Callithrix jacchus: one gene and its partner. The protein of the gene in region 1 interacts with the protein of each later gene in a biochemical or structural test. Links are inferred from orthologs where the notes say so. Each region holds a gene or a part of one and is shown on either strand. Other genes may lie near its edges.

Region 1 (3,811 bases):
TGGCCCTCACTCTCCGCGGCTCTTGTATCTGGTCCTCTGCCGTGTGACTCTAGCTGCCTTGGCCTTACTGGACTCCCAGCTCCATCTTCTCAGCTCCGGGCATCTGCTGGGCTCTGCCTGGCTCCTCTGCCTTTACAAGGCCTGGAAACTCTCCAGGCAGTAAGTTGAAGAAATGGAAGGACTTAACTCGTTTGCTTCCATTCTCTCAAGGATCACTATCCTTCACTGCCGGTGTTTTAAAAGACTGCCTGGTATTTTAGGATTTTTTTAGGTAGGAGGGTAAATCTGATCCCATTTTCTCCAGGGCTGGAAGCAGAAGCTGTTTTTAAATTTTGATCCTTTATGTGATTGAATGAAAATCACTGGATACAATGTTGCTAAGTAACTCTTACATTTCCTTAAAGAAAGCAGCCTCTGAGATTATCTTGCCCCTGTCACACATCTTTTGTTTTCCCTGCTTTTTTGGCCCTTCTGTTCCCATGACTCTTGGTTCCTGATACACTGTCCTCACTGGTTCATGCATGTTCTCTCTATTCATGTGGTCAGGTATAAATAATACCGAGACCTGAATTTTTTTGTAAAGCATGTGGTAAACTAGCTTTTCATAAAACTGTGTCATTTAGGTCCCCCTGGAGAGAGGGCTTTGCTGGGGAATTAGTTGTTTCCTTTAAGAGCTTTGCTGTTTATTTACTCATTGAGGCAGAGTCTCACTCTGTCACCCAGCAAAGTGCAGTGCAGTGCAGTGGTGCGATCATGGCTGGCCTCAGCCTTAAGTTCCCGGGCTCCAGCGATTCTATCACCTCAGCCTCCAGAGTAGCTGGGACTACAGGCATGTACTCCCAAGCCTGGCTAATTTTTGAATTTTTGGTAGAGACAGGGTTTTGCCATTTGCTTAGGCTGGTCTCAAACTCCTGAGCTCAAGCGATCCATCCGGCTCTGCCTCCCACATTGCTGGGATTCTGGGTGTGGCCACTGCGCACAGCCAGAAGCCTTGTTTCTGCAGTTTCACTTTGTCTCTGTCCCCGACCCCCAGGTGCGGAGCTGATGAGTCTGCCCTACCGCCTAGTGTTTGCTGTGGCTTCAGAGGACTCCGTGCTTCTGTACGACACCCAGCAGTCCTTCCCTTTTGGTTACGTGTCTAACATACATTACCACACCCTCAGTGACATTTCATGGTGAGTGGCTGCTAAGGAGGGAGAGTGAGTAAAGGAGACTGTGGCCGGTACCCTGGAATAGACCCTGGGGTCAGGGAGTATTTTATTACTAAAGATGGCTTTGGGGGCCCTATTCACCTATTTTGTTTGTTTCTTTTTTTTTTTTTTCTTGAGACAGAGTCTCACTCTGTCACCAGGCGCCAGGCTGGAGTGCAGTGGCATGACCTAGGCTCACTGCAATCTCTGCCTCCTGGGTTCAAGCAATTCTCCTGCCCCAGCCTCCCGAGTAGCTGGGACTACAGGCGTGCGCCACCACACCCAGCTAATTTTTTTGTATTTTTAGTAGAGATGGGGTTTCATCATATTGGCCAGGTTGGTCTCAATCTCTTGACCTTGTGATCTTCCCACCTCGGCCTCCCAAAGTGCTGGGATTATAGGCGTGAGCCACTGCTCCTGGACCTATTTTGTTTCTTATTTGTTTTTTTGAGACTGAATCTCACTCTATTGCCCAGGCTAGAGTGCAGTGGTATGATCTCATTTCACTGCAACCTCCACCCTCAGGTTCAAGCAATTTTCATGCCTCAGCCTCTCAAGTAGCTGGGATTACAGGTGCGCACCACTATGCCTGGCTCATTCTTCTGGTTTTAGTAGAGATGAGGTTTCACCACATTGTCCAGGCTGGTCTCAAACTCCTGGGCTCAAGCGATCGTCCCACCCTGGCCTCCAAAGTGCTGGGATTACAAGTGTGAGCCACCACGCCTGGTCCAATTTTGTTTTTGAAAGAATCAATATTAAAAGGAAAGCCATTTCTAGTTTGCCACAATACTTGCTTCTTATTTTCACACTGGTGGGTTTTGATGGCATTCAGATGTCCCTGTGGGGTTAACTGGACTCTGATAAACTGAAGGGAGGCACTGTGGACTCCCTGACCATTTGGGAACTCCTCAGGCCCTCTAGGAGGAAGCCCTTCCCTGCACGCCCCTGCTGCCCAGGATAGGGAAGTACCACAAGCTGGGCCTGTCCAGAGGATGTCACTCAGCACTGCCCTTCTGCCACCTTTCAGTCAGCCCCCACAGCCTGCTTGGCCCAGGGTGAGTTTTTGTTTTGTTTTTTTGAGATGGAGTCTTGCTCTGTCACCTAGCCTGGAGTGCAGTGGCACAATCTCAGTTCACTACAACTTCTGCCTGCTGGTTTCAAGCAATTCTCCTGCTGCCTCAGCCTCCCGAGTAGCTGGGACAGGTGTGTGTCACCAAGCCCAGCTAATTTTTTTGGATTTGTAGTACAGACAGGGTTTCACCATGTTGGCCAGGTTGGTCTTGAACTCCTGACCTCAATGATCTGCCTGCCTTGGCCTCCCAAAGTGCTGGGATTGTGGGTGTGAGCCACTGTGCCCCACCTACTAAAGTGAAAATTGCTAGTAGCACAGATCAGTTGCAGCGACTCAGGAAATCACAATGGAACTGCTCGCGTGAGGTGCTGTCACACGGTTTTCTAGTCGTATCTTTTCCTTAGTTTTTGCCTTCAACAAAAACTTGTGATATGGCTTGAACTTCCTTCTTCTAACTAGATGTGAGCATGTTGGTAAGGTCTCTAACTTTTCCGTTTTGGGGACAAAGGTCCAGTGATGGTGCCTTCCTGGCCATTTCTTCCACGGACGGTTATTGCTCGTTTGTGACATTTGAGAAAGATGAACTTGGAATTCCTTTGAAAGAGAAGCCAGTTTTGAGCATGAGAACTCCTGATACAGCAAAGAAAACCAAGAGTCAGACACCCCGAGGGTCTTCGCCAGGACCCAGTCTGGTAGAGGGAATGCCTACCAGCAGAACCCAAGACTCCAGCAGCCCCAGCACGACCCCCCCACAGGCCAGACAGGCCCCAGCCCCAGCAGCTGTCAGGGACCCTCCCTCCGTCACTCCTGCTGTCAAAAGCTCCTTGCCCGGGCCTTTGGAGGAGAAGAGCTTGCAGCCCAGTAGTCAAAACACAAAAGCCCACCCATCCCGGAGGGTCACTCTGAACACACTGCAAGCCTGGAGCAAGACAACGCCCCGGTAAGAACTTCTTGGAACCAGAAATTGTCATTGCAAAACGAAACCTGAAATGCAAACAGAACCCTCCCAACCTGCTGGAGGTGGAATTTCAGGCAGCGAATACTTCATACCAGTAGGTTGCCAGAGAGATTCTTCGTTTTTTTTTTTGAGATGGAGTTTCTCTCTTGTTGCCCAGGTTGGAGTGCAATGGTGCCATCTCAGCTCACTGCAACCTCTACCTCCCAGGTTCAAGCGATTTTCCTGCTTCAGCCTCCGTAGTAGCTGGGATTACAGGCATGTGCCACCATGCCTGGCTAGTTTTGTATTTTTAGTAGAGATGGAGTTTTTCCATGTTGGTCAGGCTGGTCTTGAACTCCCAGTCTCCGGTTATCCACTTGCTTTGGCATCCTAAAGTATTGAGATTACAGGTGTGAGCCACCTCGCCCGCCGCCAGAGAGATTCTTAACTTCAAATCCAAGAGTGTCATTTCTTGCTACAGGCCTCTGTCTGTTCCTCCATTTCCTGCCTGGCACGTAAAGCCCAGGCTCCTAGGCACACACACGGACTGTGATTTGGTTGCAGCCTGTCCAGGACCGTGGCCATTCTCTTTCTTCAGTCCATGGCCTTCAT
Region 2 (4,278 bases), on another chromosome or scaffold:
AACTGGGTTTGAAGGTCTTTTCTGGTAGGTCCTATATCTAACTGTTCAATCCACTGACAAAAAAGGAACTCTTCCCCACTCTGACATGGTTTTCCTAAATGTAAGAGGCGCTGATATTAGCTGTCTCACATTAACTTTCAAAAGACCATCAGATGAAAACGTTTCATTAAAAGGCACCTACTTAAGTACGAACAATGCCCAAAGAATGACAAATCAAAATTCTGGGCACTATACTAAGAGAAAATTCTTCCAAAACAGATACTTAAGAATTTTTCTCTCTGAATTTGGCCAAGTTTGGTGGTTTCATTCACAACATTTAAGGAAAAAAGTGATGGTTTATGGATAGCAGGTAATAAAACAACCCTTTACATCACTTACTAAATAGAAACGGTTTAGGCTCACAGACATGTTAAAGCTTCCTCTTTCCCTGCAATGGTAGTCAAGCCGCATAAACGAATCAACGTTTCCTCAGTTCAAACCCGAACTGGTTACAGGCAAGCAAGGGCTCCTGAGAATTTGCTTGCTGTGCTACAAATTTTTATTTACTAACGGTTTAGGTCAAGAATTTTTTTTTGAAGATCAAATGTCTTGCTATGCCTTTGTGTTCTTTTCCCATCTGTTATGTTTGTTGCCCTGTTGGTCTCCTGACACTTCCATTTTCTGTTCTCTCCAAATGGCTGTAACCTGGGGTATAACTAATCACATCGCTTGTGATTCTTTTCTTATTCTAGGACTTTCCAGATCTGGACTCGGAAGACGACGCCCAGGTGCAAGCCCAAAGGTTACCTATTTAGATTTTCCAAGCACAGTGTGTGGAAAATCATTCCTCGCCCTTCATTTTGTGTCTGCTTAACGGCGCTGTCGTGCCCAAACGTAGATACTGGCCAAGAGCTAGATTTCCAAAATGGCTTTGCTCCTTTCGAGCCGACATCGGTCTTTAACATGCAATTTATTTCCACTGCAGCTAATCATTCTCTCTACTCCAAATACTACCCGATACACAGAAAGCTGAACCTAACCCAGTGTAAACACGGACTCTCATCTGCTAAATTCAGCAAGGCCGTCAGAGCCTTTGCACCGATGTAAAAAAAAAAAAAAAAGAAAAAAAAGCGTTAAAACAAAAAACCAAAAAACAAAAAACGCCAAAACACCTCACACGAAACCAACTAGAGGGGCGGGCGTCGCCCGGATCGCGCCCTCCCGCCACGGCCACGCCTCCCCGCCGCGGCCACGCCCCTCGCCTCTCTCCGCGACGCCGGCGGCGGCCTCCGCGCGGGCCTCCCAGCCCTTATTCCACTCACTTTGTTCTCCGCCTTTGTCCTAATCCACACCAGCAGGTGGAGCCGCAGTTAAAGTTTCCGAGTCCATTCCGGGAGCGGGAGCCCATCTTGCTGGCTGCCGAGGCACTCGCTGGAGGAGGAGGGTCAGAGCTCGGGTGCAGCCAATCGAGGGCAACGCTGCTACTTATCAGAGCAGAATGGGCTGTAGTTTAGTGAAATAGGAAAGCTGCAAAACACTGTGGAGTGTTCCCGTGTAAATAAAAAGAGGGAAAAAAAAGTTTCTCAAGTCGCCGCTGCACGACGTCGGGCCGGCGCTGGGGCGGGGGTCTGCGCTCTCCCGGGCGGCCGCGCGCTGGACTTTATTGTGCCGCAACCAGCCCCAGTTCCCATTGTTTGTGTTTTTTTCAAAATATGGCAAAGGTTCAGGTGAACAATGTAGTGGTGCTGGATAATCCTTCTCCTTTCTACAACCCGTTCCAGTTCGAGATCACCTTCGAGTGCATCGAGGACCTGTCTGAAGGTGAGTGCGGCGCCCGCGCACCCGGGCTGTCAGTTGCGGGCTGCAGACGTTGAAAGTTTCCCGGGCCCGGCCTCGCGCTGGGCGGCCGTGCTCGGCGCCGGGCGGCCGCGGGCTCCTCTGCGGAGGGAAACTTGAAGTTGATGGACGACGGCAGCCGAGGCGCGCGCGGCGTTCCGCCGCAGCCCAGGCGTCTGCCGGGCTCAACTTGCGAGGAACTTGTTTGAGCCGAGGAGCGGAGGTAGCCATGTTGTCAGCTTTGTCTGCGAGCGGGCAGCTCGGAGACCGGCACTCGCGCCCGCGGCGCCGCCGGGGGTCGCGCGGGGCTGGCTCCACGACCAGCCTCCACGACCCTCCGGGCTTGGGCACGGAGGCTGGGAAGGGAGAGGCTGTGCGTGTAGTAGCGCCGGCGAGTTCGGAGCGGAGCCATCTTACCCCGAGTCGAGAATTGGGCCAGCGACCCCGGCGCACGGCGCCTTCTCTTGCCCCGCCGCCCGCCTGCCCTCCAGCCCCTGGCGAAAGGCAGGTAGTCAACTCTCTAGAGCTCACAGTGGAGTCGCCTCACTCTCCGGGCTGGCCATGCCCGGCCGCTTCAGAGAGGAGAGCGAGGCTGTCCTCGCGCTGATTTCTGGCTCCCTCGACCAACCAGCAGGGGAGGCGGGCACAGGCTCGGCCCCTCCGCGCCGCGGGCTGGGCGCCGGCGTTCCCCGGGGGCCGCGGGTCCTGTTCGGCCGGTCCTCCTCGGCCGGCGCCCGGGATGCGCCGGGATGCTGGCGCGCAGGCTCCCCAACCAACGTGGACTCCTTTCCCCTAATGACGAAAAGCTAATCTCAGGAAGAGAAATAAGAGCTGAGCTAGGAAGTTACATTTAACCTAAGAGCAGAAATTGGATACTTAAATAATTTCAGGACTTAATCTTTGCCTTCTAAATAGTCTTTAAGACTTTCTTCAAGGACGTGTTGAAATCTAAAATAACTCCACATCCAGATACACAACACACCCTGAACATGAAACACAAACGTAGGCTAGAAAATTAAGGTAAAATACTTAGTCCAAGAATTCTTTATATTTTTTTCTACATGTTTCAAGGTCTTAAAAATACGTATTTTAAAATATGTGTAGTAATATTTAGAAAGCTAAAACGACAATTATCCTTGCTTTTATTTTACTAAAGTAATTCAGTGCTTAATTTGCCAGTTTTGAAGGGGAAAAAGTTTAACTTCATCGATGAGGGACATCTTTGAATTAGAAGTATATTTTTAAAATGCATTGAAGATTTGGCTAATCATAGCATGTAAAACTATTTTCATTTTAAAAACTAGTTTTTAATCTCTAAAATGTATATATCTTATGTGAGTTGTTAACTTTATAAAAACAATATATGTTCATTGTAATAAACTTATAGAAAGTTGTACAGGCATATATAAAGTTAACAGTTCTCTGTGTTAAATACCTTCCCCTATCTCACTCCTTTAGGTAATCACAATTATTACTTTAACATGTGTGCCTCTGTTTTTTAAGACCTATGCAGAGCATAAATACACATATAGGGCAAATTTTAAAAGATAATTCATTTATTAAAATAATTTCAAATAGGCCATTGATAACATTAAGGGGTATTTTTCGTATTACTCTGAAGTCATCTGATTATTCTCTTACGATACTACTATTAATATAAGCATTGCAGCTACCAGCACCATTTTTCACACCCAACAGTCAGTAAATTTTTCTTTTTTATTGCCAATTGCATATAAAAACAGACAAAAGAAAAATCATTGGTCAGTCCATTCCAAATTATACCACAGTGTTCTTCAAATATACCACCAGAAGTTCTTCAAATTACAGGTATTTCTCAAGTGATGCCTTCCATTTTAGGAGTCAGCTCTGAACAAAGAAGATAGATGACTCAGGATGTCGTTATAGATGAAACCAGCCATTCATAGAAGCCAAAACATGTTCCATTTTTAAGTGGGATCCATTCAGAACCCAGCTGAATCACATCAGGGTTTTACAGTACTGGTGTCAAGAATATGCTTATTTCCAATGGTATATTTCACTTCCAAGGCACCATTACTGAGTATTTAGTATTTTAAAAAATATTTTAAGCTGAGTCATGCCAAAGCTGCAAAGGAATCTTTCAAAAAGGGGCCATGACTGTGTACTCCACCTAGAGGCTATGTGGATTTAGGAAATGAGTTTACTTAGCAAAGGTTTCTTATAGGTTCCATACTTTTATATTATAGTTTTTTTAAAAAAAAATTCTTAAACTATAGAAAAAATTTTTCTTTTAAATGAGACAGGGTCTCACTGTGTCACTCAGGCTGGGTGGAGTGCAGTGGTGCAAACACAGCTCCCTACAATCTCAATCAGTCCTCCCACCTCAGCCTCCTGAGTAGCTGAGAAGACGGTCAATGTACCACCATATCAGGCTAATTTTTTAGTTTTTTGTAGAAATGGAGTCTTGCCATGTTACCCAAGCTT

What was found.
Region 2: the proteins of CHAF1B (region 1) and ASF1A form a complex in vitro, tested with the Homo sapiens proteins (2 studies listed by BioGRID and IntAct). The link is inferred for Callithrix jacchus from reciprocal best matches to the Homo sapiens genes CHAF1B and ASF1A.

The regions. Positions count from the first base shown.
Region 1 is NC_133522.1:42,449,071-42,452,881, forward strand, and holds part of CHAF1B (chromatin assembly factor 1 subunit B), read left to right. Parts: intron 1-1,033; coding exon 1,034-1,175; intron 1,176-2,770; coding exon 2,771-3,202; intron 3,203-3,811. UniProt on the Homo sapiens protein: Acts as a component of the histone chaperone complex chromatin assembly factor 1 (CAF-1), which assembles histone octamers onto DNA during replication and repair.
Region 2 is NC_133505.1:125,224,897-125,229,174, forward strand, and holds the start of ASF1A (histone chaperone ASF1A), read left to right. Parts: upstream 1-1,443; 5' UTR 1,444-1,691; coding exon 1,692-1,800; intron 1,801-3,353; exon of another isoform or gene 3,354-3,649; coding exon of another isoform or gene 3,650-3,681; intron 3,682-4,278. UniProt on the Homo sapiens protein: Histone chaperone that facilitates histone deposition and histone exchange and removal during nucleosome assembly and disassembly.